Linked DNA regions of Drosophila melanogaster. The protein of the gene in region 2 interacts with the protein of the main gene of each other region in a pairwise test. Each region holds a gene or a part of one and is shown on either strand. Other genes may lie near its edges. The genes, in order: CG1213 and CG3164.

Region 1 (17,737 bases), on a different chromosome or scaffold from region 2:
GGCGGCCACCACAACTGGTCTAGCTGGCGGAATCATGATGGCATCCAACATATTGCCCTACATACAGATTGGCGTCTTCCTGGTCGTTGTCATGATCGTTAGCTGGTTCTATGCCACTTTCTTTCTAATGAGTCTGCTTCGGGTTGCCGGTCCTCAGCATGGTTTTCTGGAACTCAAGTGGCCGTTGTGGAGCAAGCGAAGCAGTGGCAGCAGCAAGTTCTACGAGCGGTAAGGCTTTTATCGTATTGACCCTTTCAATTTTCTATATCTCTCTGTTTTGCGTTAATGTCATTTTTATCAAGCCTGACTGACGGGTGACTACCCGTTATCGGTTATTAAAACTCGAATTTCTTTGTGCAGGAAACCCAGCCAAGTGATCGCCAGCGAGCAGCTGCTGACCCCCACAAGCTCGGCCATCGTTGAGTTGGCGAACTCGGAGACGCACGAACTGGAGTCCCTAAACTCCAACAGCCTGATCAAAACCATTTCGGGCATCGAAAGCGCCCACGCATTGTCCTCGCTGCCGAGGGACTTCGAGCACTCATTCCAGACGATGCACGAGTGCAAATATCAAACGTATCCGTCTACATCCAATTGAGTTAGTTACTATTGCCGGACAACGCGTTGTTGTTGCCAAGAAGAATCAGGCAACTGCATTTTTATACAGGGTACGGCGGCTCTCAAGCCTGCCCGAGATACATTTATATATACATATACACGCCGTGTGTCGGCATATTTAGTTTTAAAATATGCTGGCGGTGGCATATGTACGTGTTGTGCGAGTTCTACATTGATATACTCTAGATATATGTGTAATTGTACTTGGTAGGATTAGGCAAAGCTATTTTCAAAAGACTCCAGGCTATTGCAATATGCTTTTATGCTTTTTTTTTATCTTGTGACATTTCACATTCGATGCTCCAGCCAAGTGAAAACGATTTGTAAACTGAAGCAATTAGCGGGAGGTACTGGGTACTCTGGGTACTGGGTCTTTGTCGGTAGGACTGTACGATGACGGTATTATTAGTTCTTAGCCAAACGTTTCAACGCTGTTTATGTTCTTATCTGTAATCAAAACTATTTGTACTCTGGTTTTATATTAGGTGTTAAGTTGGGCCGCATTGTTGGCGCCAGCAAGATGTAGTTACTTTACACGATAGTTATATGCGCAGAGATATGTGTTGTCTATCCTAGTTGTATGCGTTCAAAACATAAGAACATACACACGCTCACGTTTGTAATAACCATGTAACTGTGATACAGAAGGTGAGAATCTTAATGAAATTGGTGTTTATACAGACATAGTGTTATATCCCTAAACAATGACGTATTGTAATTACCTGCAACAAAATGGCCCTGTACTTCCTTCATTGAACTTATGTGTTGAAGTGATTTAATAAATGTTACTTGTAAAACCACTACAAATGCAGTCTCAGAATTGATGGATCAGTTTATTGAATGGGTGTTATGCAAATCCGTCATAGTGCGGATATAATTATTTACTTTTACTTGTTAACCCTATGCCAAATTTGCTTCATTTACATCAATACGGGTTTGTGTGGAATGCTTAGTGATAAACAAATTGCTTGCACCCGGCTATCCACTTTCCATTTTCCATTTTCTCGATTAGACTTCCATGAAGGTTCAATTCCATTGAAGGCTCCTTTAAAACGATTCCCCGACGGGCTTGATTGTGAGCTCATGGATCTGCACATTGGGAGGCGTCTGGATGTAATAGGACACTGCGTCGGCGACATCCTCAGCGCGCAGCATGGGAAAGTTTGGAATGACCTTATTGATTTTCTCATCAATGATCTCTGTGTCGACGGCTCCGGGACTTATGCTCTAGAAGTGGATAGGTATTAAGACTCATATAAGTGTTTTAGTTGCTTTCGATGGTTGGTAACAGATTTTTAAAATGATTCAATGTGAAACCATAATCTTTTTGTTTTCTGTGCCTAATGTACATCTGAAATCAAAGTCTACTGACCCTAAAATATAATACATTTTGAAGTTGAAGTCGGGCAACACGGGAATTTTGTGACCCACGACGCTGTTAATGACGACCACATGGCCATCGGTGACGTTGCGCGTCTGCTGCGATCGGAAGGCTTCGCGGGCACACCACACGAATCCCAGTAAATTGGTGTCCAGAACGGCTCGCATGTCGCGGCATTGTTGGGATCCGTGATGAGGGAACCGGTAGTGATGCCGGCGTTGTTCACCAGGACATTAATGTAATGCCTTAACATTATTGTCATTCGAAAAACAAAAGCCTGTCCTTTTTTAATAATATAAAATGTATTACCTTAAATGCACGTATGCATGTACGTACATATGTACATATGTATGTAATAAATACTTCGAGCTAGCTCAATTAAAAATCAAATTAAATATTATTACTGTTTTGGAGCTAAGAGAGAAGGAGCTTTTATCAATAAATATATAGAATGACAAGTCATTCTGATGTAAAAAATTACGATCTGAGAATAAAATGCAAGAAAAAAAACTGAAAAAAACATGACATTTGAAATGTGCAAACAATATCGATGATATAAAACAACTGTTAATATAATGAGTATCAGTACATAGCAAGATTAGTATATGTATATATTACAAAGCTACCTCAGGGAATCGGTCACCACGTTATCATTCAAACATGTGCATATTCTTTCTAGAAATAAACTTTTTTTTTAATCATAACGTGGGTAAACGTTTTAGAATTCTTTCTCGACTATCAGCTACTCAGCTAGTAACAGGGCGAGGGAGACATTAAATTTTTTTTTATTTTATTATTTTATTTTTTTTTGCACATCTTTGCATTTTTCGATCTTTGGATCCATTAACAACACACAGACAAAGACGGACAGATCGACTTCTGCTCTACGATTAACAGGTCTAAAATTCGATAAGCGAAGATATGTAATTCATCTAAAATAATCCTTTTTACGGTACCTTTTGTGGTACTTCGTATCATAGTAGGCGCCGAATGTATATTTAGTACAATAATAACTATTAATAAATAAATCCAACTGCATGCAGTAGCTGGAGTAATCGTGACCTGGTTAACTCGACTTGGGTGCGATTCAGTGCTTGCGAAGTGTGTAGCGATCGATCGGCCCCGATGGCATAATACCATCCTTGGCCTTTATCAGCGCCGGAAGGCAGATGGTCTCGTAGTAGGTGGTTAGATTGTACTTAGTGAACAGCTTGCGCATCTGCTTGGCGAACTCTCCTATCTCCATGCTCCTGACAATCGATCCTGGTTCTGGGATGAGGATCGACTTGAACGGATCCTCCTCCTGGATACGATTGTGATAGTTGCCATAGGTCGTCCGATAGTCAATGCCGTCCGAGCCGTCGAGTTGGACCCTATGCTCGCGCTGGCTGATGAGCGACTGGTAGTCTTTGGGCGAGTAGTCCGACATATAGGTGGTTTTCAGCAGGTCCTGCAGATATTCCCTGATGAGGAAGTAGTCGACGGGCGGGTTCACGAAGAAGAGCTTGTAGATCTCCTCGTTGCACCACTTGTTGCGCTTGACGAACTGCGCGTACTCCTCGCGCCAGTCCATGGATCGTGGCCATGTCCGCGTCTTCAACTCCTGCTTCTGGACCTTCAAGTTGTGCGCATAGTGGCCCGAGATCAGGGCGGGATCCGTTTGCTTCCGGAACGCGGTGACTGTTCGCTTCGGCTTGTCGGCGGTGTAGTCCTTGTAGAACGCTTGCGAGGTGGTGATGTCCTTGCAGCACCTCGGCAGTATGTGGTCCAGAAAGATCAAATCCATTTCGGCCAGCATGGCGTCTTGTGTTTTTTCAGCCATTGCGGAAAATATATTTTTATGTTTTTTTTTGTGTTTCCGTAAAACTCAATTACAGTGTTAGCCTATGTAAAGGTACTGTGTTCTAAGTATTTTTCAATCGTCAGATTCGAAAAGGTATCAGTGTTGTTTGTTATAACATAAAATCTCTTGACGTTGGAAGAACTACTTATTTTTTAATATAATATAATATATAAAATTAATTGGTCTTGTATTATAATCATACTATTATTGCCAAGGCATTAAATTAACAATGAGATTCGCAAATCTACTATGAAGTAAATAAAATTGGATAAAGAGTTTTTTAAGAGATTCCCTAACATTAACAATATATTAAAAAAATAGTAGATAATACGGAATTCATATTACGGATATTAACATACAGTTTTGCGGCGAATTCGATCTTAACTCAGCAGTTTATAACATTGCATACTTTTATGCCCTATGGATTTATGCCCCTATTGGATTTATTATTATACTCCTTACACATAGGTCATCCGTTGATGACCTTAAAAATGTTCTTTTAAAGTGCACCAAAACTTGCACGCCATAGCTTTAAAGCTGAAAGACTATATTGACATATCATATTGTATAGTTATTCTGATCAATAAATCCTCTGACTAAAAATGCTAAACCCCCGAAAGGGTCTTAAAAATGTATATTTTTTACCGTTTTTGTAAGCAATTGCCATAATATTTAAATGTCTGGCTCAGAGAAAGAAATTGTTGGTTTATAATAATATTATTACTAGACTTTTATTTTCATTACGACTTAACAAGAATAACATGTAACAATTGAGTTTGACTTACTACACTAGCCAGTAAAATACTTGCAGAGGGATCCTTATCATTATGGAATCAAGGGCACTATCAACTAAGGGACCAGCTCTCTAGTTACGCTTGCCATTGAGGCGATCCTGGATCTGCTGCAAACTAAGCCCCTTTGTCTCCATCACCACGAAGAGGACGAAGAAGAAGGCCACCACCATGCAGACAGCGAAGAGCCAGAAGGCATAGTAGGAGCCCAAGGCATCTAGGCTGGGATAGAAGAAGGTGACCAGGAAGCCGAGGGTCCAACAGGTGCTTGCAACAACCGAGGAGGCCACCGACTTTATGTTCGCCGGGAACATCTCCCCGAGAACAGCCCACGGCAGCGGTCCGAATCCCGTGCAGTACACGATGTTGTAGATGATCAGAGCAGGAACTGGCATCCAGACCACACTGGAGATGTCTCCCTTGACCAGCTGCATGTAGAAGAATGCTCCCAGGGCCGCAAGCCCAATGGACATCACACTGGAGGACGTCAGCAGCATCACCTTCCTGCCAAGGCGATCGGCCACCAGAGGCGTCAGTGCCGAGGATCCCACCTGGACACATCCGATTATGATGGTGGCAATCGCCGGATCCAGCCCAGTGTTGGCACTGGCGAAGATAGACTGGCTGTTGAAGAGGACCACATTGATGCCGGACAGCTGCTGGAAGGAGATCAGGCCAGCGCAGATGAACAAGGCCCTGCGATTGCCGGCATTCTTGAACAAATCCATCACTGTGCCCTTGCTGGCCATCGCCTCCTCTACATTGGCCTGGATCTCGGCCATCTCGTCGTGCACGCCCTCGGCACTCTGGCCCCGAAGGAACTGCAGCGACTTCAGTGCCTCCGACTTTCGACCTTTTCCGGCGAAGAAGTACGGACTCTCGGGCATCATGTAGAAGACCAAGTCGAACACTACGGGCACCACAATGCAACACCACTGTAGAGCCTGGTATGAAACATACGGTCCAATGGCATAGACGTACAGAATGCCACCTGTAGATTAAGCATAAAAGATTAGTCGTTTGTCCCACTCTCCCTTAGAGGGTACCTATCCAATCTACTTACCCACAATGAAGAGCTGCATCAAGGATCCGGTGGCTCCGCGCACATTGTCCGTGGAAATCTCACCCACATACATGGGCTGCACGGTCATCACGAAGCCGACGCCAAATCCCTGGATGAGGCGGGACATGTACAGAATCCACACCTCGGAGGCCACCATATTTAGGCCGAAAGCCAGGACGAAGAACAGACTGCTGGAGAGGAGCACCCACTTTCTGCCAATGCGATCAGCCATCGGACCGGCCACAAATGGAGCCACCAGAGCTCCGACGGCAATCAATGATGAAATCCAGGCATCTTCATCGGAAGTTATGGGCCGGCTCAGCGGCGAGTCTGAGGTGTCCTCGGACTTGAGCTTGGGCCCGATGGGGGAGGTCCAGCCTAGGGTGGTTCCCACCACAAAGGCGGACAAGTTGGCTACAAAGCATGTAATCGATTAGTTAAGGAGAAAAAAATTACTTTGATTGTTGGACGATGAAACTTGGTTATTTAAAAACACAAATTAATTAAAAATATGACAAATTGTCGAAATCGGTGTTTTTCTTATTGGTAATGTAAAGTAAGTAAATATTTAATAATAATTTGTTTTCTTAAAAAACATACATTTATGACTCAAATTACTCTTTAGATTAATATGTGTTAAGTCACCCCTTTTGGAATTCGGGATGAGTTAGTTATGTTATATTTGCGATAAATGATAAGAATATTGACTATTGACTCACCTGCCACGGCAGCCATAAAAATGCGACCGGACTTGACCGGTTCGGGTGACATCGTTCGAGTGTTTCCTTCTCTTATCTGGAACGTACTGACTTCCGTGTAGGAGTACTGTACTCCGGTCTCCTCCTCCCGGCTTATTGAGGGCATCTGGCCGACTTGGGTTGTACAGAAGCAGCTGCAAGAGCGCAAGAGTGGAAAAGCGAAAGTGCCTCATTAGCAATGCGGCTGACTGGGATTAATGATCTTATTCGCATTTGTAATTCAATCGGCTGCAAGTTCAAACGGTCAGAACTCGACACGTCTCCGATTTCTTTGTGGGATGGAGGATGGGGGATGCGGGATGACGCATGCCACCATATGGGAGGGGAAGCCAAGTAGCTACCGGAATTGTACTCCAAACAGCTTGACACATTATCTGCCGATTTTTTAACGCATCACGTTATCAGACCATTAGCCAGTTTATCTGGACTTAATAGCACAGAAAAAGTTAAACGGAGGCGGAACTGCAGTCTTTTCATTATTTAATGAATGACCAAATTATTTTAATTGCACTATGGACAAATTAATGTCTGTCGCATTTGTACTGCTAATTAATTTATTTATTCGCTGCCACTTATGTAATCACCTCTGGCACTTTTAGCAAATTTGTATAATGATTGCGACACCAAGTCATTAATGGTGTAAAGTGGAATTACTATTGTATTACTATTCACTTTGCATTCTTACAGAAAAATATCCTTGGAATCGCAGTAAATCCCACTCGAGTAGGATCTGCAAATGAAATTAAAACCGACGCAGTCCGGGGAACTGGAGAACTGTAATGCTGTTTGAATAGTCGCATCGCGCGAATTTAAAGATTTTCCACCTTATATGGCAGGCTTTCGAAATCCATACACGTCCAATAATGCTCACTGACACTCGACTTGACGAGTGCTCCTACACGTGCATTATCTTATCAGGGAAGCGCCTCCCGATTCACGGCAAACCCATTTATAGGCTATACCATACCATACCATAGCATATAGTACTACAAGTATATTATACTATTCTATAATCGGAGCTGCCATCTCTCGATCGAAACTCTCTCTGCCTTGGCCATCGAATCGAAATCTCTGTATTCCGCTGTTGTTCGTTTGGAATCGCGCCATTTGTGTGCATTTTGCACTTGAACTGGCCCATATACGTACGAGTATGCCCACATATTAAATGTGATAAGGAGGTGCAGCGAAAACTATGCCCCAATCTCAATTTGTTTGCTTCGCCGACTCGCCGGCAAAAGGGCGACCGGCCCACTTCGGTCCTGGTCAACTAAAAACATACAGCCCTTTCGATATACAACAAATCTTAACCCAAATAAATACCCTATATTCTGTCGAGTGAAGGATTACAAAAAAAGAAAAACGCTTTTGAACTTGATAGAAGTTTTCCCTGAAAAGTAAGCAAACTTCAGATTCTTGCTCTACAAAGGCAAATATTTACATACATTCTGGTATTTAAATTAAGTTGAGTTTAAAAATATAACGTATATTATGCAATGTGTGTTTATGTACCTCTATAGGGCTGGAAAACAAACAAAAGGCGCCAATCTACAAGTGCCTCTGACACTCACACACCCTTCTGAATTCCTAAATAAAATCAAATGTCGCCAAGCGCGGCGTAAACAAGTTTTGATTACGACTGCTAATTATTGAGTAATTTCCGATGCATTTTATAGCCCTGTCCTTGGATCTATTTAGTTGGTTCCAAATCGAAGGTGGGGACACAATTTCTGCGCCTGGGGCGAGACACGTGAAGAGGGTGTGAGGGCACTCGAAATGGAGCCGATTGTCATATCTATTGGGGTAGTATCTCAACAAGTTGATGGTCGAGGAACACCTGGACTGAGCCAAATAGAGCACTTCAGATAAATCCTCCAACTACTAAACTTCCATGGAAAAGTAAGTAAGTAACAGTTGAAATTCACGCAATTAGTAATTACTACGTGGATGTGTAACGTCGCATCTGACATTGAACTGTTACTGTACTGCTTATTATTAAATAACTATATTTATTGACATTCTTGAAAAATGCGACCTCGGGGTTTTGATCATAAACCATTAAGTGATTTTCCCAATCTCTAAGATATTTCAAGTAGTGAGCTCCGATAAGCATTTCGAATAAATTGGACAGCTAATTTTATTAACATTTTTACGTTTACCAATCCGCGCGTCCAACGGAAGTGAGTTTTTTATTTACGGTTCACTATGGCAAAACTTTCCGTAGTTCTATTTAGCATTGGGTTTTGTTTCCACTTGCCAAATAAATGTGTTTTTTGAGAGCATTGTAGTTTTCGTATGGTTAATATGTTTATTTTCGATGCCTAACAGTTGAATGGGGGCGTTTATTTATGAAATTGTTATCAGTGTGCAAATTCAAAGCTGACTGACTAATTACGCAGACTAGCTTCCCAAGTATAAAGAGTAATTAAAAATGTCAAAAGTGGCATTCTACTGTTGGAACATTCTCACAGATCGCTTTTTCACTAACCAGACGACACACATTTTAGAAATGTAATTAAAGTCAATTTGATAAGACCACGTTCCTCCAGAGCCTCCAAAATCAAGTGGTGTTTTTTTCATCGATTTTGTAGGTAAAGATACGATTACCTTCGCAGACATGTCTGGCATTAAAAGCTGATATGCTGGAGAACACAAGTCAAATCCAAAAAACACGTGAGATTGGAATTCATCTTTTGGGGGATTTTTACTTGTTTACGAAATGGGTATTGTGGAAAGTTTTCATTCACTGAAACTTTTGGAAAAATACAGACATTACATTGGGACTTAATGATTGTGTTTCTTTTTCATCCACCATTGATCCTTTTCTAAACACACATATGCTATGTTTTTTAAGTTTTTGCTAACTATTTGTTGTTTTGAAAAGTTATTAATATAAATATTAGTTATTAATAATTTGCCACAATGGAAGATATCATTTTAGATGCAGCTCTAACTGGTTACCTATATGTTTTTATAATTGACTTTAACTGATTAAGAAACTTACAAGACACGTGATCTTAGGCAAAGAATACTCGTGCGAACCGATCGCCACGAAATCAGATGAAGACTAATGGAATTGGTAACAGGCTGATTTGGGGAAACATTATCTCAGCCACTCGATTCACGTTCACGTTCAGAACGATAATGCGTTTAATGTGGACCCTAATCGGAGCACCTGTTATTATCATATATGATATTTATAATAATTCAAGGCGACACTCGATGATCAATTTATCAGCACTCGGCAGCGGGACGGCTGAAAACCAACACTCTTATTAACTAGGTCGCCAGACTTACCCATTTCGTAGCCGAAATTATCAATTAGTGGGCAATCAGTGAAACAGTGAACACCGTTTGGCTGCACAATGCGGCGTACACGTAATGTGGGAATTAATTCAACTCTGGACTGAACAGACAGATCAAAGCTAACTGTTTGGCTGGGCTGTCGGAATGGAAATGATGTCGGATCGCGAATGTTTTGGCGCTTTTGTGTTGGGCCTGAAAAATTATGACAGACGCATTTATACTCGCACTTAGTCGCAAGTGAGGCTAGATAATACGAATTTCACACACCACAGAAGCACAGGGGAAGCTCACTCACACACGTCCGATTGTAGAGATCCAGACTTATCACAGACATATGTATGTATGTATCTATCACCATATCATAGCGAATTAAGCGCGACCGTTGAACCAAGCTCGACTGAGAGAGTTGAGTTTAAGTGATTTGTATCTGCCCAGTCGACAATTGGCCGATGCTCTCGCAGCCTTTTTTTTGTCATTGTAAAATAGCCGAACGGATAAAAAACACACATTTAGGTTTGGTTAAGGTGTTCACAGACCTCTAGTTCCGGACCGAAGTGTGGAAAGCTTTGGGGCTATTTGGGCGATACCGATCGATGTGAATCACCATCCAAGAGGAAGTTAATTAGCATTCAGCGTGTCTGGTTAGGGGAACTGACTGATTCCGATGGCCTAGCTGGCCAAGCGATACAGTTAGTACATACTCAATTAATTTGTTTGGCTAGTCGGCCAGTATTGTGCGTGCACCGCGCATCTGTTAATTGAAATGTCTCCGGTGTAGGCACTTAAGTGCCTTATATCGACATGGTCGATTTCTGGTTAACACCATCCGGAACCGGCAATGCGATATGAAATACATGGGAATCGCTGGCCAGAAGTCGATGCGTTTGTTTATGACGATCTGCTAAATTTAAATCGGGAAAGTGAACTGCTTGCTGGTGGGGGGTTGAATATTGATAAGGAGAATGATTTACAAACTGGTTATCATGTCTTGACAAACTTTTATTATTATTACTTTTATCATTCAGGTTTTGTTGATTGTATAGAGACATGGTAAGACAGGAGGCTCTTGCTGATGCCAATTTAGAAACAAGTTGCGTTTTTTGTAAGCTTCCATTTTTAGAACTATACTTAATTGACAAAGAAGTAAAGCCCAATTTGCCACAGATAAAGAGTCCATAAATGCGTAATTCCATCGTGAGAATAGGTAGCTTTCCTTGATAACAAAAAAAGCATTATAAAAGCAATGCTTTAGTGCAATTTGCAAAATGGGAATATTATTTCAAGATAACTAATAGGCAGTTGCTATTTTAATTTTCAATAAGCTTTTATTGTAGTTATTGCCTTAAGCTTACGGCAATAATAAAAAGTAAATTAAGGTAAATAACGCATCACATCAATATGGACTTCTTAATCAACGAATTCGATTTCCTCGACATTCAGATACGCGTTACCCAGCTGGTGTAAGTGCCACATGTTAAATTTTAATTTCAAATTACAAAGAAAGTTTTCTGAGGTTTATTTTTCAACACTATGATAACATTGTTATTTGCGCACATTAATTAATAACTGATATAACCCATTAATACATTCAATTTATTTACTAGGCACTAGAACTTCAAACAGGAATTAAAATTATCGCCAATTGCTGTAAACTACTATACCAATGTTTACCAACAGCAATACAAAATCAACTTTATGAGCTATTTGTGCGAAATTTATTATTGATTCTCTGCCTTTATCAATCTTTTTGCGACTTGTTTAATTTTTAATATAATTAATTAATTAGTCTAATAAGGCTACATCTAATAATATTTTAGTTCTATACACAAAGTACAATTCAGGTAAGTAAAGGTAAAACGTAAAATATGCTCTTGAAAATTGAAATACAATTCTTGTTAAGTTAAAAGCATTTGGTTCAAAATAAAATTTAATAGCTGTATCGACGAATTGCTCTTACTTATCCTATTTAAAGCGAAACCGTCATGTACATGTACATATATGGACTATATCCCATCAATCCCACCGATTTATCTACCAGTATGTCAATTAAAATTAGCGACCATATCGCGGCATCATCTATACTATACACATGTATATCACTCCCACTTTTTCATCCCCTGCGATATTTGCCATTTGTATTTGTCTTGCTGCTGATTGTCGCCAACCTGTTGAGCATGTGGGCAAATAGCCGAGCAAATACCCAAGCAAATAGGGGCTTCGATGGGCTTCCTGTAATTGCGTTAAATATTTGCATAGAAGCGCCGGCAATCGAACGCAGTGGGTTGGCTGGCACGATTTCAATTTGCATTTTGTGCAACGATCTGGCGATTCCAATTCCTATTCCAATTCGACTCCGATGTCGATCGATCAATCAACCGACGATGACCTTCACACTGACCATGACGCAGGGCGGTGGGTGGTGGTTTTGTGGTTGGAATGGGGAATCGCCGAGCACTGGCGCCAGCAGTGGGCGTGGCCTGTCACAATCGCGGCTGCAATCGCCAGATAGGGATCCAATTTCGCATTTTAAGGGGCGTACCCGGGACTGGGCTATCGCCTCCAATCTGACCCGTAAACACTGCAGGTTCCTGTACAGCTTACTTTTATTATCAAATATATATGTACATTTGTTAAAATTAGCACACAGAAGTATAAATATAGGTATTTGTCTTTGCAATCCTAAAGTACGTGTGTTTATACAGCAGGTGGTTTATACAAAAGGAGAGCACGTACATATGTAACTGGGTGGAAGTGGAAGTCCATTGAATCTTATATAGATATTTGGGCGTGACCTTGAGTACTTAGGAACTAGTTAAACTATACTACGTATCTGAACATCGTGGAACACCAATAAGCTAGGTTGGCCTTGAGTCCGAAAAAATTGTAATAAAATTAAGAATAGGTTACATATCTTGGCTGAAGTTCAATTGTGCCAGAGGTAATTTCTTGTAAATCGTTGAAAATAGAAATAACATATAAAAAGTATTCAAAAGTATCTTTTCAAGGGCTGCTTATTCAACTACGAGTTCAATGGCATTCAGCTAGAATAAACTATGGCATGGAGTCCTTCTGTGATCCTCAACGTCCGCTCAACCAGCTCTGGATTTGACTGGCACTCTTGCCCTTCGTCTCCTGCAAGGCGATGGCAACGTAGGCAGTGGCCACCCCCATCCAGGCGCTGAAGAACCAGAACGGCACATCAGCACCGCCAGCATTGAGCACGCCGAAGAGCCATGTGACCAGGGACACGCACACCCAGTTCATCATTACGCTCAGGGAGACGGCGATGCCCTTCACGTCCGGCATGAAGAGCTCGCCCATCATCATCCAAGGAATGGGGCCATAGCCCACGGAGAAGCTCACGATGAACAGCACTATGCAGAGCAGGGGCAACCAGCCAATGGACTGGGACAGATCGGTGTGCCGATTGATTGTGTTGTAAGCACCCAGCATGGCCAGGCAGACAGTCATGATGGTGCTGCTGAAGATCAGCAGGATCTTGCGGCCGGCCTTCTCGATCAGCAGGGAGGAGGCCAGGGTCATGATCACCTGCACCACACCCACCACTATGGTGCAGACGTTGGGATTCAGCGTGCTGCTAGACTCGAAGATCTCGTTCATGAAGAAGATTACGGCATTGATGCCGGAGAACTGCTGGAAGACCATCAGCAGCACTGAGATCACCATACCGTTCCGCGAGGCGCGGTTGCTGAACAAATCCTTCACGGAGGCATCCACTCCAGTCTGGTCCAGGTCGTTTTGGATGGCCTGGATGGCGTTGCTGGTGTTGCAGTAATCTCCCCACAGCCATTTTAGTGCGCGATTGGCCTCGGAGCGCTTACCCTGCAATTTAAAAATGTGTCCGTATAAATAAATATTGATAATCAAATCATTGTCTGAACTATACAAAACGTAACCGAAGCATTTAGCATTTGAAAAATATTTGGAATAAAGATTTAAAAAATACTTTAGAAAGGTTTATACAATTTTGTATAGCTCTCAGGGACCTGAGACCCTTACGTTTTTAAGTAGATACACTGGCGTCTCGGGCACGATAAACAGGCCGACGAGCAGCAGGATGGGTATGATTAGACAGAGCAGGCTCAGAGTTTTCCATGACACCAAAGCTCCCACCACGTAGATAAACAGGATACCAATCGTAAGGAGCAACTGGAACAATGTGCCTAGACTGCCGCGAATGCTAGTCTCCGCGATTTCCGAAATGTACATAGGAGCCACCACGCAGAAGCTGCCCGTTGCGATACCTGAAGTGCTGCACATTCAAATCGAATTCAAACTGGCAAGTTTACATCACTTACCAATTAAAAATCGGCCCAAGTAAAGCCAGCCGACGGAATTGGCGAAACTAAGCGTGATCCAGGCCAAGATGAAGGGAATGTCCATGACCATAGCTGTATAACGTCGCCCGATCCTATCGGCAATATATCCAGAGGGGAGGGCTCCAAAAAGGGCGCCGAAGGGCAACATGGAACCCACCAATGTTTCTGCAAAGAAGCAAACGTTGTTTAGTAAGCCCCAGAACTTGTCAATCTGCCCAGAAATAGTACTCAATCTATAATCAATACTATCTATACTATTTATGATCACGCAAATCATAATCACTTGTAAAAAAGAGATAGCAAAATGAGCTTAATAGTTTCGGAGGGCCACAGTCAACTTAATCAATTGGAAGAATAGATAACAAAAACAAGAAAGAACGCTATACTCGAGTTACTCGACTATCAGATACCCTTTACTCATCTAAAAACATTTCATATTGTTTATGGAATATCGATAGAAATTGAAAGTTTTGGGCAAACACTTTTAGTTCCGTCTGTTCATACGGACGGACAGAGGAACGGACATGGCTAGATCGACTTGGCTATTGATCCTGATCAATTAATGTAGTATACCATTAACTCCACGAGTAACAGGAATAATCGAAAAATGGTATTTCTAAATAGATTCCTAAAGTGTGTAGGTTTTATCAATACCAGGATAGCTTTACCCTTAAAATAAAAGGGAATCAAAATGCAAACATGTTATCAATGCTATGTGTTGAACAATTTACTGGCGTATAAATGCACTCTATAACCATAGTCTATAATGTTGAACAATTTACTGGCGTATAAATGCACTCTATAACCATAGTCTATAATCTTAAGGTCCAACGCTATAAGAAAGGTACTCACTTTGCGAATCAGTCAGTCGAATGTCATTCTCGTTGGAAGTCGAGTTGGAAATACCGCCAGTTGTGGAATTGAAACTGCTTTCGTTTCCGGCAGATATCTGCGGAAAAACAGGAGACGTCCAGGATAACGCAGTTCCAGCGGCAACCGCACCCAAACAAACTGTAACACATCGATTGTTGGTCAGTAAAGACATCAATCTTAAAACAAATTTATTGTTCTCACTTATCATAGCCGCCACATATTGCCGGGTCTTTGAAGTCTTCGACTGATTTTCTTGTAGAAGATCATAGGTTATTGGATTGCGTGAGTCTCCGTCCTCTTGACTGACGGTCTGCAAAAGAAGAAGGAATCTTTAGGATCTGCTTAAAAGATTATATCACACTTAAATAGGCTGCATTCATAATGATTACGATGGCTGCCCTGCTCGGTTTCCTCACTGGCCTGGTTATGATAATAGGCAAAGTTCTAGCGTTTCTTTGGACTTTGACGAAAACCATATACGTCACCCTGAAAATTGCAAGGACCTTAAGGAAAACACCAACATTTAGCGATGTGAAGACTCGATTTAAGGAGTTTTCCCTCAGAAATGCAAAAACTATACTAAAAGAATAGTTGAACAAGTCTTGAACGCATTCATGATCCAATTCAGTACCCAATTAACTCTTAAGAAATGTCTAAAATCACTTGGTTTGTACACCGCTGAAAATGTGAAAACCTTCTTACTTAAAGCACTTTTTCATTTAAAAACACACAAAAATATATATATATATTGTTACATTTGTCCGACAAACTCTAAAATGCAATGCTGCGATATTTACCTGCCACCAACGAGCCATTGCACGGACCACTTTTTCCGAATCCATTCGAGATTCGGCCGATTTCCGGGTTCTTTAGCAACGCCTTATATAAGACGATCGCAGACGAAACGCACTGCGCCAAATTTGACGACTCTTTGTGGTGTAAAAAACGCTGTTTTATGGTTTGTATATATCGGATTATGTATTTCACTTATTTCTATCGAGTCTCATTAATTATCTTAGCAGTGCGTTTCTTTGTATATGTATTGTTATTATGTATTGTGTATTATTGTTTTGATTTTTCCGCTAATTTTAATGGCTGCCTCTGGGGCAGTGGATTGTCTCGTGCAAACACCTCGAAAAGACTAAACCGGAGGTCTCTTCGAAAAAACGTATTTTCATCTCGATGCTTGGCGAAGATTCTTCTATTGTGCATAGAACTTTTATTTTATCTGAGACTTTTGTCGGCATTTCGTTGAACTGCCAACAGATTACGCGAATCAGATGCATTCGAATCTTTTGTTTTACGTCAGAGGCAAATGGATTTATTCTTGAAATAGGATGCTAACAAATAAACAAACAACCTGTTGGAAGTATTCGTAAAACTATCCCAGTAATCGATTACCCACCGGCTACCGAATGACATTGTCATATTAATTGGCTATCAAATGACTTCTTATGTGAATCCACGCAAATATTACGCATACGCCACCGCAACCAAGTCGAGCAAAGCCCAAGCAAACGAATGCTTCCGACAGTTAAAATTAATTTGCTAAATGCATTTCGGTGCGTTTGAGGTGCACTTTCCAAGTGCATCGGGAACCAAATTCGTCGTCTATTCTCGGGCCGTAGACAGAAGCTGGTCATCGATTAGATGACAACCACGTGAGATTGCCCCTTTCACAGTTGATTCCTTGATGGCTAGGCAGGCGCCCGCTTAAAATGTTATTAAGGCGGAATTTCTAATTATAAAGTGAAACACGTATGTACATAGGTGCATCTTAATGGCGTCAAGTGCATGCCAAAAGAAACCTGTCGCCGCATTCGCACCCAAACAAGTCGATCACTCGACGGCGGTGCGAGCGAGAGGTCCCAGAGTGCGACGGAGACAGCGAGAGGGGGTCAGAACGATACGACTGACACACCCACCAAACAGTGAGAAAAAAGCCTTGTAAATATATTGCAAAATGGAACTGGTTTAAGATCAAAAATCAAAAATATTTAAGAATAAACCAACGATAATAAACCACCTAAAAGCGGTCGAGAAATCTGCTATTAAATCTGCGCAATACACTATCCAATTTAGACGTGAAATTTCGCACAGTGTACGCACAACACATGCTAATAAGCTTGCCTCGCTTGCTGTGCTCTGTTTACTCTGTTTCTGCACTCGCCTTTTGCTGTTTTCTCCCACTTTCCGACGTCAAGTTCAGCGAGTACCTTGTGCCATGTGCCGATGCACTTGGGAGGCCCGTTCCCAAGCACCTGCCCCCATCCATACCAATGGATGATGGCCTTACGCTCTATGCTTCCGCCCACAAGCCCACATTTTACTTGTCTTTATCGTGGCCCGCGCCATTGCAGCTCACTCAGTCGTTAGACAATATCTTTTATTGACGCAATTCCCTTAATTCGCTCAAGTCATTTGCCCATGCGGTAATTAAAGCGATATTGTTTACCCATGGAAGTCGCTTCTGTTGCAAGGTGTGCCCTGGTATTCAAATATAGATGGGTGAAAATGGCAAAGCTTCTTTCTCACGGATTATAGACTCCTATGGTGGGTTTAGTGGGTCTCGATGGGATAGCAAGTCCAAATTAAATACTTTAAGGGCTTTAATACTAAGCGAATTTATTCCATACCCCGCAAAGTTTGCTATGCTTCGATAGAGGAAGTTGCACAGTATAGTCCTAAATAGTTTTATTAAAATGGTGGTTTGGTTTGCTATATGTGCAAAACATTATTCATAAGGAGCTACAATGAATATTTTATT
Region 2 (14,707 bases):
GGCCGTTCAGGAATCACGCTCCACAATCGTGCCCAACTTTAAGGTAATTTAAATAAAATTCGCAGGGGTCTGGGTAAAATTATTTCATCTCTTTATATGGAATTGATTTGATCAATTATGGTTCAACATTATTTTATTTTCGCAACCGCAGCCAGTATGATTTATTGCCCTTTGATAACCCTACCCAGGCGGAGGTATTTTTCTGACCGAGTCAGAAGTAAAAGGCACGGTACAAAAGATAATGGTAAACGCTGGACAGGCTTTTGCAGCCGGAAGATTAACTTCGTGGCCTTACTGTCTTATCAGTTTGCTTGGACTTTAACCGAGTGAACTGACGAACTGAAGATTTTATAGGAAGGTGAGGAGAGTAAGTGAAGCTTATATTTCTATCCAGTCGATCGTTGCCTACATTTATCTAGAGCAAAAATATATTATTTTGATCACTTGATTCAGTGATATATCAATATCATTTTGTTATCAATAGTTTCGAAATCAGGTGTCCAGCTTATCATTCCGTTTTATGCAAATCGCCTGGTCTCAGGCAGCATAACTGGATCTCCTCAGGCCTGCATTGTATGATGTTGACATCTTTGAACGTGTTTCATGCATACCAATGAACCTGCTTCAATTAATTAATAATCTGGTTTTTGGGCGACGGTGCGGAACTATTGAGTTCTGTGGCCATAACAGGCTAGTGCCTTGATTCGATTGTTTATGTGATTTTAAAATATATTATAGTATCTACATTGTGCCCACAAATGCTGCAATGGAAAACGGGTATATTAGATAGTCGAATTGGAATTGGGCACAGGAATGCGTTCGAACATTTAAAGATGAGTTAACGAAGCTATAGATGGTCTGACTACGGATGATTCCGTGCCTCTTTCGGCTGGCTGGCTTGGTCGAACTATCTCTGTGTATTTAACACTGTTTTGTATAAACTGGATGGCCTTATCTCTCCCTCTTAACCTTATTACATTTGCATACCCCGTAATCCGTAATCCGCTCCCAGCAGAGCCAAACAAACACCGCTAACTGCACCTCAGAATGTCAACAATTGCGAGAACGGACATGCAAAGTGCAGTAAAAAAAGCACACTCAATTTTAGATGCTCGAAGACATACTAGATACATACATATGTATGTATATTAAATATCAGTTTAGTAGTACTGCAGTATCTGCTATTTTAATTTAATTCAAATTTAAGATTTATTTTGTAAGTTTAAGTATAATAACCACACTTAATAGCCCCCCTTTGAAGCGATTGAGTTCGCGGTTATACTCAATCAATATAAGATTGCAGGGAAATGCAATTGCCTGCCATCCCAGAGTGCAGTACCCCTGCCCTATCAGCTGGACGCAGTATATTGCCATTGGGAATATACGAGTATATGGAAGCATTGTCTCCTTCGCAGCCATATCTTTCATCCAAGCATACAAACATACATATATGTACATATATACGAGGGTGTGTGTCAGTTGAGCGAAAAACACACATATTCTGAACGGAAACCCTAAGATTTAGTCTTTGAATACTTTCAGTGTCAGGCAGCTGTTTGTGGTGGAAAACTTTCCATTAAAAACAAGGTCTTGCCTTAGCTAGTTTTTGTGCCCTCATGTCACTCTTATTTACAAGCAAGCTGTTCTATATTTTAAAACTTTGATTTTCACAGTCATTGCAACAACAGTTGTTCAAAAGCTCGCCAGAAAAGAGAAAATAAAATAGTCTGTAGTAATGTGTTTTGCTTTGTACGCAGTTCTGCTTTTACTCAAAATGTATTTATGTATCTCAATGGAATTTTTAATTTTGCTAGTGCTAGTATTTAGACATTTATATTATAACAGCATATAGTAAAATGATGTAAAATGCTACCGAACAAAGTGAAGCGACAGATCCGTAAAGTGAGATACATATGTACCAATATATATACATAAATTAATTTCTTAGTATTTTATTTTTAACAACTTCTAATCAACAATTGGTTTTTATAAACATATTTCACATATATGTGTATTCGTGCTCATGGATATGAATGATTAATATGCATATCGTCCGATTTCAGTGATATTTCCTTCTTAAATTTACATTTAGAAACTCTTAGGAGTTATTAAAAAAGTGCGTTCAAGAAGTTAAGGGCAAAAAATGGCGTTGACCGAATTCAACGTCGGATCCCAAAATGTTTGTTTGATCTAAAAGGTACAAAAAATTAACGTAGAGTACAATGTTTTTTATTATTTAGATTAAAGCAATGATAGATATACGTAGTTTGTGAGATATATGGCAAAGTATTCATGAGGCCCCATCGCTTTAAGGAAATTTCGCTTTAGCTTAGTTCTTCTTGCCACCCACCCACGTTCTTAAATTCTAAGCGCACGCTTTTCGTGCCTCGGTCTCCTGTCTTTTTTGCACAAGCAAACTAAATTTTGCTTCAGTTCAATGTAAATATAACCAAATGATCGGATACGCTTCACAGTTCCATAAAACATAATGTACAAAAAATTAAACATCTGTTGCACCGCTCACAGCCTACTCGTTGAGCAGGCAGGTGCGAACAATGGCGTTGCACACGGCGTAGGGATCACAGTTGGAGCTTGGCCGCCGGTCTTCGAGGTATCCTTTGCCGGCCGTCGCAACGCCACGCGGCACTCGCACACTTACGGCCCGGTTGGCCACGCCCCAAGAAAACTTATCGATGCTAGAAGTCTCAAGACGTCCCACGAGGCGCCGTTCATTGTCTTTGCCTTCCTTGGGGTCGTATGCCTTGATGTGCCGCTCGTGGCGCTTGCTCAGCTTCTCGATAGCTTCCTCGATGGCCTTGATTCCGCCATCAGCACGCATCTCCTTTGTGGAAAAGTTGGTATGCGCGCCGGCTCCGTTCCACTGACCCTCCATCGGTTTGGGGTCAAAGGTGACCACTACGCCATACTCCTCAGCTATGCGCTGCAAAATATATCGCGACACCCATAAATCGTCACATGCCTTAATCCCGGCTGGACCAATTTGGAACTCCCACTGCGCGGGCATTACCTCGGCATTGGTGCCGGCGAAGTCGATCCCAGCATACAGGCAGGCCACGACGTGGGCCTCCACAAGATCGCGAGCGTACACACGGTCAGCTCCCACGCCGCAGTAGTAAGGACCTTGTGGGGCTGGGAAACCGTTCTCCGGCCAGCCGAAGGGACGTCCGTCCACGTCTAATAAAGTGTATTCTTGCTCAATGCCGAACCAGGGCTCCTGATCGCTAATTAGGTCAATGGCTGCCTGGAACGCGGCACGCTTGTTGGACGCCGTCGGCTTGCCGTCGGCGCTGTAGGTGTCGCACAGGACAATTACGTCGTTCTTTCCCGGCTTAAAGGGATCGCGATATATGGCGCGTGGCTTGAGCGTGGTGTCCGAGTTCTCGCCATGGGCCTGGTAGGTGGAACTGCCGTCGTACTGCCAATCCGGCAAGTCCTCCACGGAGCTGGGTACTTTGTCCAAAACGCGATCCTTGAGGCGAATGTTCTCGCCGGTACCGTCGATCCATAAGTAAGTAGCCTGCACTCGATTGGCCGGCGTTTCCAGGTTGCGGTACCTCTGCAGAATGCTCTTGTCTAGAGCCGTGTTGGGGGAGTTGGCCAAGAACTGGGAGCGGGTGGTATTGCCAGTACGCAGCAGACGCAGCTGCTGTGTTGCGGGAGCCACCAGCTCCTTCTTCAGGAAGAGTCCTGCCACGCGTAGTGCCATCTTGGTTCTTGGATTGGAGTCGGCGAGAAGGACAAAAGGACACGGTTAGTTATGTATTGCTGGCGAATGTGAGGACGTGCGCAGGAAGGGCAAGGGCTGGTGGCATGCTGGCTCACTCTGCTTTTCTCATGAATTTTTATGTAATTATTTTCCTTGCACTTGATTTTCCGAGGTAGTTAAAAAAGGGGTACTTTTCCAGTGAAGACGCAGTCTTCCGCACAACTTACCGTGCTCTGCTCGTTTTTCCACTTTACAGTTATATGATTGGTTAAACAGTCGCTGGTTGGACAGGTCTTTTGGTAATTTTGGATTGCGGTACTTTCGGTTTTCGTTTCTGTTTCTGTCAGGGGCTGCGGAGCGACTGTTGGGGACACCCGACCAATTCGATGTTTGGAAGTCTTGTGAGCACAGTTAGCGCGACAGCATTCACTTTTTTCGTTGTTTCGTCGCGCGCCTCGGGTTTTTCTTTATCTCGTTTGCGACGCCGACGCACAGACAAAGGCCTCCCAGAGAGCATTCAAAACTGGCGGTATATGAGCACCCGCTCCGCAGCCACTAGCCAGAGAGACCTGCAATGCGACCCATAATGTTTATGTTTCGAGGCTAGTCGGGTAGCCAAAAGCCCCGTTACTGAGCACACGCTATAAGCTCATTTATGCATTTCGAGCACTTGTAGCTTGCATTAGCGCCAAATGAAAAACAAAAGTTTTTAGTAATTCTCATCGTAGAACACCTGCACCATTTATGTGCATGGCCCACTTTAGAACCCACAAATTAAGTTCTACATTTTTGATAAATTCATTTCAGAAACTATGATAGGTTACGCAGTATGCAGATGCATTTCAGCAGTACTACTTATTACAACACTCTCTCATTTCTCGTAATCTCTTCGTAAAAACCTCCACCATTTTGCTCTTTGGCTGATTGTTTTGAATACACGCCTGGTACAAAGTTCACTATATACAATTAAATATAGCGAATGCAAGGAGCACCGTATCAGCTGTGTCTATTCGTGTTTGGCATTTGATAAACTCTGTGGTGGACCGCATTAATAGAGCCTTAAATGAAGCAATAATGATTTGTTTATAATATGTAAATTCGGTACTAAATGTTCCTATTCCTGGCTTGGGTCTCGCATACGACGTTCTGAATATTAAAAATATATCTAACTAAAACTATAACTAAAATAGCAGTATAAGTACACAGTGTAGCCAACTTTTAGGCTGAGTATGTAAAACGTTGAAATTTAAATGCTATGTAAATTCTGATCTAAATATCCTGTGTGGAGGATATTCAATATTTATTTGTTACAGATTATACTTAGTCCTAGGCCGTCGTTCATCAAGCCACGCATATTGGCCCACTCCCTCCTACATAATGGCATGTTGTCGCACAAAAGCCGAGACCACAGATATGTCTTCCAATTATTTGTTGGTTGCCTCGTAACTTAGAGGAAAGTACTGAAGAACGGATGAGTATATTTCAGATAGGATTAATGTTAAAATAAAGCTAAAACTCTGTTTCTGGCGGGAAAGCAAGCTTTTTTGGACGGCTCATATTGGGAGAGCTTCAGGTGGGCATAACAAAGAAAACAAGGAAAACAGAGGAAACTTTTATGTGCCAATGTGTGAGTGCCACTTTTCACCATAGACCCGAGTAATTCCCATATAGCCGTCTACGCTTTTCCAGTTACGTGGCATCGTTTCCACTAGTTGGCCGGCTTCAGTTTTCGCAAGAAACTACGAAAGTTTCCCTCCAGCAGAGTGTACATATTTTTACACCCGATGTGCAACAACCAAATACAAAATCGCTAATTCTTATATTCGGTTTGGGTTTCGACTGCCTATTCGTTATTGCCTGCGACTTAGCTTTCGCGAAGGCAACTTGTTGCTTCAAAGCGATGGTTTCAGTAGCTGTTGAGTTACGGCACCATGAACCAGTATAGTTGGAAGCAGTTTTTGGAAAATAATAATCTGTAAGTAGCCGAATCAGGCGGGTCTCAAGCAAAATGCATCACATTTAGTTGGCACATCTAATATACCACACCCCCCGTTTATAAAACGAAATCAACAAGTGTAGAACAACCGGTTTGCAATTCCTGCCAATTGTTGACATCTCCGTGACTTGATTAGCCACAAGCTTTAAAAAATTTCCAAGCCAATAGTCATCGGGAAATTGCCAGTGGAAATACATTATTCTTTCATATCTTAAGGCGACTGCATAACTTTAGTGCTGTATGCTGATTTGAACCCAGAAACCGAACTAGGAATAATATCTCAAATTGCGGTTTGTACTGGGAAAATACCTTTTGTTGGTCAATTCATTACGTTTTTACTTGCCCCAATATATACAATAACCGGTTTAACTAAACGTTATTAGCACTCCCAGTGCAATCCGTAAATCCCAATTAGATTGGGCAAAATATAGACCGGAGCATCGTAAAAGCATGCCAACAAGGAGCCTTACAGCAATGTCTACATCTAACTGTTGCGTTCAGATATACCACAAAACTGTTTCTGGGGCAAAGTTGTAAGGTCGTCCCACGCCATAGCCACAAATGACCTCATGCCACATTAAATGTAGGGAAAAGCAAAATGTAGGTAAAATGTCGCGTAAGCAAACCATTAAAAAGCGTACTAGAGCTCCTTTAAACGAATTACGGCACCGATTAACTTATTTTTACGTAAAACACGAAATGACAAAGTACAACCCCTTATCGGCTCATTGAAAACTCCTATCAGCTGTAGATTGACACCCATAGATAAGCCCCTCCAATAACTCATGAGTCATGAGCGAGGCCGTGAACTTTTAACTTAGATTGAATAAACCAATGGCCAGAACCTTAGCTTCCAGGACTAACTACTATAAAAGGCTGATAAACCAATCAAAGTACAAGACTGGGAATCAAAGACCTTCCTCAAGGTAAAGACTTTCCTCGAAATTAGTTAGTGGTATTTTATTTCGAGATACATGGGTCCGCCGATCGAGGAATATTCACAGATTATAGGCTTTTCCCAAATTCATTCAAGACTTAGTAGAAGAATGCGCTGGCTTTTGAGAGAGAGCCAACCCGCAGTGCCTCTCAATCGCACTAGAATCCCCACCAGAAGTAGTGCTTCTATTGTCGTCCCACTCTAACCACAGACGTAAAGCATTGGGGCTGTGAGAGTATGCGATGGCACTCTCTGTCAGCGGTTGCCTAAATTTCTGCCTTTGTTCCACTGCCGCAATTGCTTATTTCAGTTGCGATCGCGGCGCGAGCGAGTGAAGTCCTAATATTTGAGAAGCGGCAGTACCGTTTCGAGCAGACGGGTGGAAAATTTCTCTCACCGGACCAGACGGTGGTGGAATCGAATCGAGAACGCGAACGAAAAACCAAACGGGAACGAAGGGCAGCAGGGGCTGCAGTATTGCTGTCAGTGCTAAAGTTTACAAAGAATACACACACAACACAGTGGTTGCATTTTGCTTTTTAACCCCTGGTTGATTGATTGACAAGATGACTAAGAACGATAATGCAAATCTGTTGAACGACAACAGACTGGGCACAGCCGGAGCGGGTCAGTTGAAAGCTCAAATAGTACCCGCCCAGCCAAAGACGCTCCAGCACCTCCCCAAGCGACCAGCGGTGGACCTGGCCTTTCACAACCTGACGTACCGCGTCAAGGAGGGGAACCGGAGCAGTAAGTACTTCCACTGTCTAGTACCTCTCTCTATATCAAGCTGCACTCCTCGGCAGCACGAGAGCGGGATCTTGAACCTCCCGCGCCTGCTCTCACCTCACCCTAGAGCTTTTGTTTCCGGTCCTGGCTAGTAGTACTCCGCACATGTGTTATTGAGCTAGTTCTCCGGAGTACTCTGTCGCTATTACGCACTTCCCTGGCTTTAGCGGGTTTTACTTGTTTGCTTTAGCTGCGCTTCGCATTGTGTTGGTTTCTGGTTTCTTTGTTCTTTTAGCAGCTGTAACGCAGTATCAACACTCAGACTGTGAGCAACGGAGAACTTCGGGTTGTGGCTGAGTAGATATGTAACCCGTCGTCTCTTCGTCAAATTCATTTCCCAGTTTCACAAGGGCGGCTCTGGCCAAAGTTCACTAGGTTTCACCGCGATAAGCACTGCTAAATACATCAAAATCATCAGCCAGTAGCCGCGGAGTAACTGCCCACACAAGCTATTTCGCTATTGGGACAGTCAACAACTTGGTTCGATGCCATAGCATCTAAAAGGCGAGGAGCCATGTACTCGCACTTTTCTCACGTAGCAGTGTATCTACTTTAAAGCATGGGTGGAGCACAATGGGGTTTTTTTTTGGATCTACTGCTTTTATGGAAAACAATTTGTGATGACGTGCCAGAGGGAGAGGTATTGTTTTTATACCCTTTCCTCGTAGACTGCCCCTGATCCGCCAAAAAAAAAAGGATTATGAAATTGAGTAGCGGGTATGTTATAGTTGAGGAAGTCAAGACTGATGGCGGCGGTATGTGCTTTCTGTGTTAGCAGAGCGATTAGGATTTAGTCACTGCCAATAGCTAGCTTTAGTCGGGTGTGGTGGTGAAAACACATTTGTGGTAATATGCAGTGCCCCGGTGGGGCCGTTCAGAATAAGTAATGATGGCCGAGCGATAATATTCCATTAGTTTGGTATGCGAACGTGCACAACTGCTTTATTCTTATATTTATAAAAGCTCATTCATGAAACCCACTCCCCTCGTTGTCGCATTGGATGGCTGGCCTCACGGCGGACATAGTCCGTGAATCCCGTCTAAGATTGAGGGACTGTCAAAGCCTGTTTTTAAGCCCAAGGCCAGCCAAGTGCAAAACTAATTGGAGAAGGCAGCAGCCTGAACTTTGCACACCTCAAAGGTCGGCCATCCGACTCAATTAAGTCGTTCAGAATAAGCGAATATACACAGATTTATTTACACTGCCCTGTGAGCGTGCCCCACCTAGCCGAAAGATTTGCAGATGGCACGCCGCCTTCTGGGGTGTGCTAAGTTATGTGCCAAAATAATGTATACAATATAAGATGGAAGTGAGGCAACAGATGGAAATTGCGCTGATTTTGGCTAACTATGCCACTTAAAGTAAACACAATTAATGAAGTAAGTGCCTGCTAACGTTTTCGGCTGCTATATTAAAACAGATATAAATAAATTCTGAAAGCGACTTTCTGTGCCCTTGTTGCAAGTTTGGCGTAACCTTTTCTTAGGAGCCCTGAATGGTTCCACTTGTTGTCCAATCCGGTCATAAACATCAAAGCTACGATTTGGCCTTAGCGCTGGACTATAGTTTTTCAAGCGTGACCCCACTTTTGGTGCTATTACATCAATTGGCAAGCAAGTAAGTTCAATGAGAGACATTGCGTACCTAGTGGTTACGACTTGCTAGTCGCTGCCTGGCAGCTGGAATTCATTACCAGCTTTTAAAGTCTACGTATTAAGTAAGTCGCCGAATAAAACATTTACAGTCCCTGCATGAGCTTAATAAATTTGAGTTTCACTTCTGAGCGGGTCACGGTACTTTACTAATCGGAGTTATGACAAACATAAAATGAATTATTTCGTAATAGTCACTTTACAGAAGCTCTATAACCAGTCATAGCTCGCTTTTGTGTCCAAAGTCGATTCAATAGTAAATACATCTTTTGATTAAGAGCCGGCAGTCGAAGAGCGTGCCCCCATGAAAACGGGTATATTAGCATTTTCCGTAGAGCAGATGGCTTGCTGTACAAAACTATTGGTTTAAACTTTAAAGGTATGCCATGATTATAAGGCACTTCCGCATCTGAACAGTTCCATTTAGGCAGCATCTGCGAATATACGTCAGAATAAGTCAAACTATTTTTAAACAAGCGTTACTAAAGTGCAATTGGCTTTTTACGAATTTTAGCCGCTTTGTTTATTAGTTGTCCGTTGTTGATGTTGGATGTTTAATAAAATTTGAGTAATGGACGCGGTTGTTTGACAACTGTTGGAATTCTGTCGATAATAGCATAAGTCATACTATATATGGAGGTGGACGAAGAAAAACGTGATGGGGCCATTGACCGTGCTATGTGTTTCGATTGTCAGACTTTGCAGATTTTGTTTACCTATCGGCTCTACACTTGCTCGTCCAAAAGCCAATGCAATCAATATCTTTCTTGATAGCTGCGGCGGCACTTAGATATTGACGTAAGACATATCAAAACGCGAACTATTTTTAGTCCCAACAAGAGATTGGCCCAAACACTAATTTTGTGTGTTTTTATTACAGATGCCAAGACCATTCTGAAGGGCGTCAGTGGACGCCTCCGGTCTGGAGAACTCACCGCCATAATGGGACCATCGGGTGCTGGCAAGAGTACGCTGCTCAACATTTTGTCTGGCTACAAGTAGGTTTCGCAGGGCCTGATTATTTGCATTCACGTCAAGTAGCTGCTGATTCCGACACTGAATCTGACCTTGCGCCAGCGCACGAGAATACGGCGAAACGAGTTCGAAAATGTTTATATTCAGCCCTGTATTATCATCAGAAATAATTGCGACTTGATAACCACTCTGCCGCTTTTGGTGCTTAAACAGCCGACCTATTCTCGCCTTGCGTTCTTCGTATTTCTGTATTTTATGTGGGATACACACTTACATATGTACCTATTCTAAGCGCAAAGACTTTCCTTCTACAGCTCAATCTTTATTTATTTATTGTAAACCTTAAATTTTGCTCTATTGCATAATAATCATAAACCGTTTCATTACCCTTTCATGCATTAAATTTTGTTACCAGGAGTGGTCAACCGATCACCCTGAATCGATACGAGCAGGAAATCTATGATACATAGATACAAGTGTACTTGTGTGTAATCGACTGCTTTGCTATTTCCTCACACACATTTAGCAATGTCGCCAAGTTTTATTGGTTTGAATATTTGAGGGAGAATCAGCTACTACTTTGCTGGACTTCGGACTTAGGTTGCCCGATCGCGTGCACATGTATGCTTAGTATATCAAATAAAGGTCCGCATACACACAAACGTAGATATGCACAATAAAATACACGCTAGATTACTCGAAATTGGCTTTGCCCAGTGATAATAGGTCTAGTAGACGCACAAAAAAAAAAGGTTGGGCCTTTTTAGACTATGGTACAGGAATGTAATTTAGATGATACTCATACTTACAATAGCCCTCGGTTCTAAAATCCAAATTACCAAATTACTAATCTATTGCACTTGCAGAACTTCGAGCATCGAAGGCAGCGTTACGATGAACGGTGCCGAGCGCAACCTAAGCGCATTTCGCAAGCTTTCTGCCTACATCATGCAGGACAATCAGCTTCACGGAAACCTTACCGTCCAGGAAGCAATGACTGTGGCAACGAATCTGAAGCTCAGCAAGAAGTTTTCGAAGCCCGAGAAGCATTCAATGGCAAGTTGAAAAAATTAAAAAAGCCCGAGAGGAAGAATTTGATAACTTTAAAGATTAATCATAAGTAGCCAATCCAGTAGACAATTTGATTCGACAGTCTTGTGTATTGGGTTTTATCTTAAACGTGCTAATAACCTGCTTAACACCCTCTTCCAGATCGATGACATTTTGCTTACTCTCAGCCTGAGCGAGCACCGATATACGATGACTCGAAATTTGTCCGGCGGTCAGAAAAAGCGGCTCTCGATTGCCCTTGAACTGGTCAGCAATCCTCCCATAATGTTCTTTGACGAACCCACATCCGGCCTGGACAGCTCTACCTGTTTTCAGTGCATTCATCTGCTAAAAATGCTAGCTGCTGGCGGACGCACAGTCATATGCACCATCCATCAACCGTCCGCTCGTCTCTTCGAGATGTTCGACCAGCTGTACACTCTCGCAGATGGACAGTGCGTTTATCAAGGCAGTACAAAGCAACTGGTGCCCTTCTTGTCTACGCTAAACCTGGAGTGCCCCAGTTACCACAATCCGGCAAGCTACGTGATTGAGGTGTCCTGCGGGGAGCACGGAGATCATACGCGCAAACTGGTCGATGCTATTGACAACGGCAAGCGGGACGTTCGTTCATCAGCAGACTATGCCGGCCTCAAGGCTCGCAACGATTTGGTAAAGGTGCAAAACCTGAAGGCTATTCTCGATAAGAACGACGCTTCAAGTGTCAGCGGTCGCAAGTACGAGGACAATTTGACCTTGAACAACGGTTTGCTCAACGGCATGGTCAATGATATTGTGAAGGAGGGCAACGTTAGCTCTGCCTTGGTCACTACCAATGAAAGGGGAGATGCCATGATCGATGTGGAGAAGTCCGTAAACTGCACCACTGCCTTGCTTACGGAGGAGATAACATCACCAGAGCGATATCCAACATCGCAGTTTCACCAGTTCTGGGTGGTTCTTAAGCGAACTTTACTCTTCAGTTACCGGGATTGGGTAAGAAAACTTATAATGGTGCTTTTCAGGATTTTAGTAAACATTGCTTCTCTTTATTATAGACTCTTATGTATCTGCGTTTATTTGCCCATCTGTTAGTTGGATTTTTGATTGGGGCACTCTACTATGACATTGGCAATGATGGAGCAAAAGTTTTGAGCAACCTGGGATTCCTATTCTTTAACATGCTTTTCCTCATGTATACATCTATGACTATTACGATCCTATCATGTAAGGAAACCAGTTTGATATTCCTTTCTCTGTAGTTAATATATTATTTTGTGTGTTCTAGTCCCGCTTGAGATGCCCGTTTTGTTGAAAGAAAACTTTAATCGCTGGTACTCGCTAAAGTCCTACTATTTGGCTATATCAGTTGCTGATTTACCGTTTCAAGTGAGTTGCACTCAGCTGTTGAGTAGAGCGAATGTTACTAATACAAAATAATTGTTTCTTTTAGGCTATTTTCTGCGTTATCTACGTGTCGATCGTGTATTATTTCACTTCACAACCTTGGGAGCTATTCCGCTTTTCCATGTTCTTGTCGGCCTGCCTTCTCATTTCTTTCGTTGCTCAGTCCGTGGGTCTGGTGGTAGGCGCTGCAATGAATGTTCAGAACGGTGTCTTCCTGGCCCCAGTGATGTCCGTGCCCTTCCTTCTGTTCTCCGGCTTCTTTGTCTCCTTTGACGCTATACCAGTATACTTAAGGTGGATCACATATTTGTCGTACATACGATATGGATTCGAGGGCACAGCTCTGGCCACCTACGGTTACGGACGGGAGAAACTTAGGTGCTTCCAGACTTACTGCCATTTTAAATCACCTATTACCACGCTGGAGGAACTGGACATGGTTAACGCTAACTTTACACTCGACATTGTGGCCCTAATTGTGATCTTCGTGGTGCTGCGCATCTCGGCATACCTGTTCTTGCGCTGGAAGCTGAAGACTGTGCGATAAGCATATTACATAATTTTAAATGTTGTTTTGGATTTAATAGCTTTCTATGTACGTACTTTATATTGTAGTTTTCAAAAAAGCGTCTTGGGTTTTGTTCTTAATCATTAATCTTTTACAAATTTCTTTTTGTCTAGTTTTTAGTCGCGAAATTCTTCTTTTAAGTGATACAAACGCAAGGAGGTTTCTTATCTTAAATCAGCTTGATTCCAGCCGCATATGTAGTAAAACCAATTCAAACCACTGTTGGAGCACATCATTGATATAAGTGAATCGTATAATGAAATAAGTTATTGAACGTGAAACCAATTTTCTAAATAAAAATAACTGAATAACATTTCCAATTGTATTTACCGAAGGATTTTTGAATGACTTTAAATTAAAAACGAACATGTTTTGTGTCTATATACATTAATATTTTTATTCAAGGTACTTTAAGACCCTTTGGAATTTTTTGTAATATTTTCTTATTACAGGTTTAGAATAAACATTTTTGAATATATACTGTACAAACTACGTGTTCTTGGGGCAAATAAAGATGTCTACCTAAAAAGTTGAAATTAGACAATTTGAGATTATGATACCCATTATTTTTTGTGATCAACGGCATTATCTACTTAAAAGCTCTTGGAGCGCCATCTGCCGGAAAACGAAATCAAGTCGTGCGAGTCGGCCGTTTAAATTCGAATCGCTTGCAGTGGACGACAACGTTTTTCTGGGGCGTCTATTCAAGCAATCAAGCATTTACTTACATACACATAAACCACCGTCGCAAAAATATCTTATTTTCTTAATTTGAAAAAGGTTTTAGCATTGTAGCATTCACCACATGGGATACGAATGCTGTAAATTTCCAAGTGGGATCCCAGATATGAAAACATAAACATCCCGCTGTTTTGTTCACACTATTGCTAGGAGTTTAAAATTTTGCAAATGACATGCCTTAAATTGTTCGAAATTATGGGGACCCCTTCCTATAAATGTGCCTGCTTTAATTTCATTCAGAAATAGTGTTTGGTATTCAATTTTAAAGGAATGTCACTTATAATATTTCGATCCTTAACAAAATCCTAATTGGAAATCGTACTCAAAATTTTAAGCTACTATAATTAAGGTAAGGACTTGACTGAAGCTAAAGCCTGGTCTCTCTTTCTTTTTTATTTGTGAGTGGTGAGTGAGTGGAATCGGTATAAATAGACTGGCCATATCCTTCGAATCGGATTCAATGGGCTGCAAAACAAGTTTTTGATCTTTTATAGCTGAAGCCAGCCTCTAGACTTCTGAAGGGCAGAAGAATTCGGCCCGGGCACTAGACTTCGCCTCTGTAAATCTAGCATTTGCAGTAGCAGTCACTGCCGCAGTCTTCCTGCACTCGCATTTAGTACATATTCGGTCGTCGGTGCAACAAGACGACGCTTCTTCGCTGCTGTGGCGTGGTTGCCGCCATGAGAAAGAGTGAAAAAAGCCAGCGACAGCAGCAACTACAAAAAGAAAGTGGAGTAAGTGCCCCCTATCGCTCTACCGATACACCCGCTGCAGCGCCAGCGTCAGAGCCAGTGAGTGGTGCATTTACGCAGCTGCAAATAGTAGTGTACGCCGGCTGTATCTAACGCGTTCGTTGAACTCGAA

The links.
Region 1: the proteins of CG3164 (region 2) and CG1213 interact in a two-hybrid assay, tested with the Drosophila melanogaster proteins (one large-scale study listed by BioGRID).

What each region holds. Positions count from the first base shown.
Region 1 is NT_033777.3:5,833,382-5,851,118, reverse strand, and holds CG1213 (uncharacterized protein), read right to left. Parts: upstream 9,950-17,737; 5' UTR 9,749-9,949; exon of another isoform or gene 9,456-9,748; intron 7,240-9,455; exon of another isoform or gene 7,039-7,239; intron 6,589-7,038; 5' UTR 6,561-6,588; coding exon 6,416-6,560; intron 6,111-6,415; coding exon 5,697-6,110; intron 5,625-5,696; coding exon 4,708-5,624; 3' UTR 4,551-4,707; downstream 1-4,550. Other genes in the region: disp (dispatched), read left to right, coding at 1-228, 361-598; CG14676 (uncharacterized protein), read right to left, coding at 3,087-3,821; CG1208 (uncharacterized protein), read right to left, coding at 12,836-13,600, 13,778-14,022, 14,077-14,262, 14,950-15,108, 15,172-15,280, 15,768-15,812.
Region 2 is NT_033779.5:121,503-136,209, reverse strand, and holds CG3164 (uncharacterized protein), read left to right. Parts: upstream 1-5,418; 5' UTR 5,419-5,658; coding exon 5,659-5,702; intron 5,703-6,964; exon of another isoform or gene 6,965-7,226; coding exon of another isoform or gene 7,227-7,267; coding exon 7,268-7,410; intron 7,411-9,982; coding exon 9,983-10,100; intron 10,101-10,943; coding exon 10,944-11,133; intron 11,134-11,289; coding exon 11,290-12,123; intron 12,124-12,178; exon of another isoform or gene 12,179-12,185; coding exon 12,186-12,354; exon of another isoform or gene 12,355-12,415; coding exon 12,416-12,516; exon of another isoform or gene 12,517-12,580; coding exon 12,581-13,081; 3' UTR 13,082-13,586; downstream 13,587-14,707. Other genes in the region: Gs1 (glutamine synthetase 1), read right to left, coding at 2,528-3,727.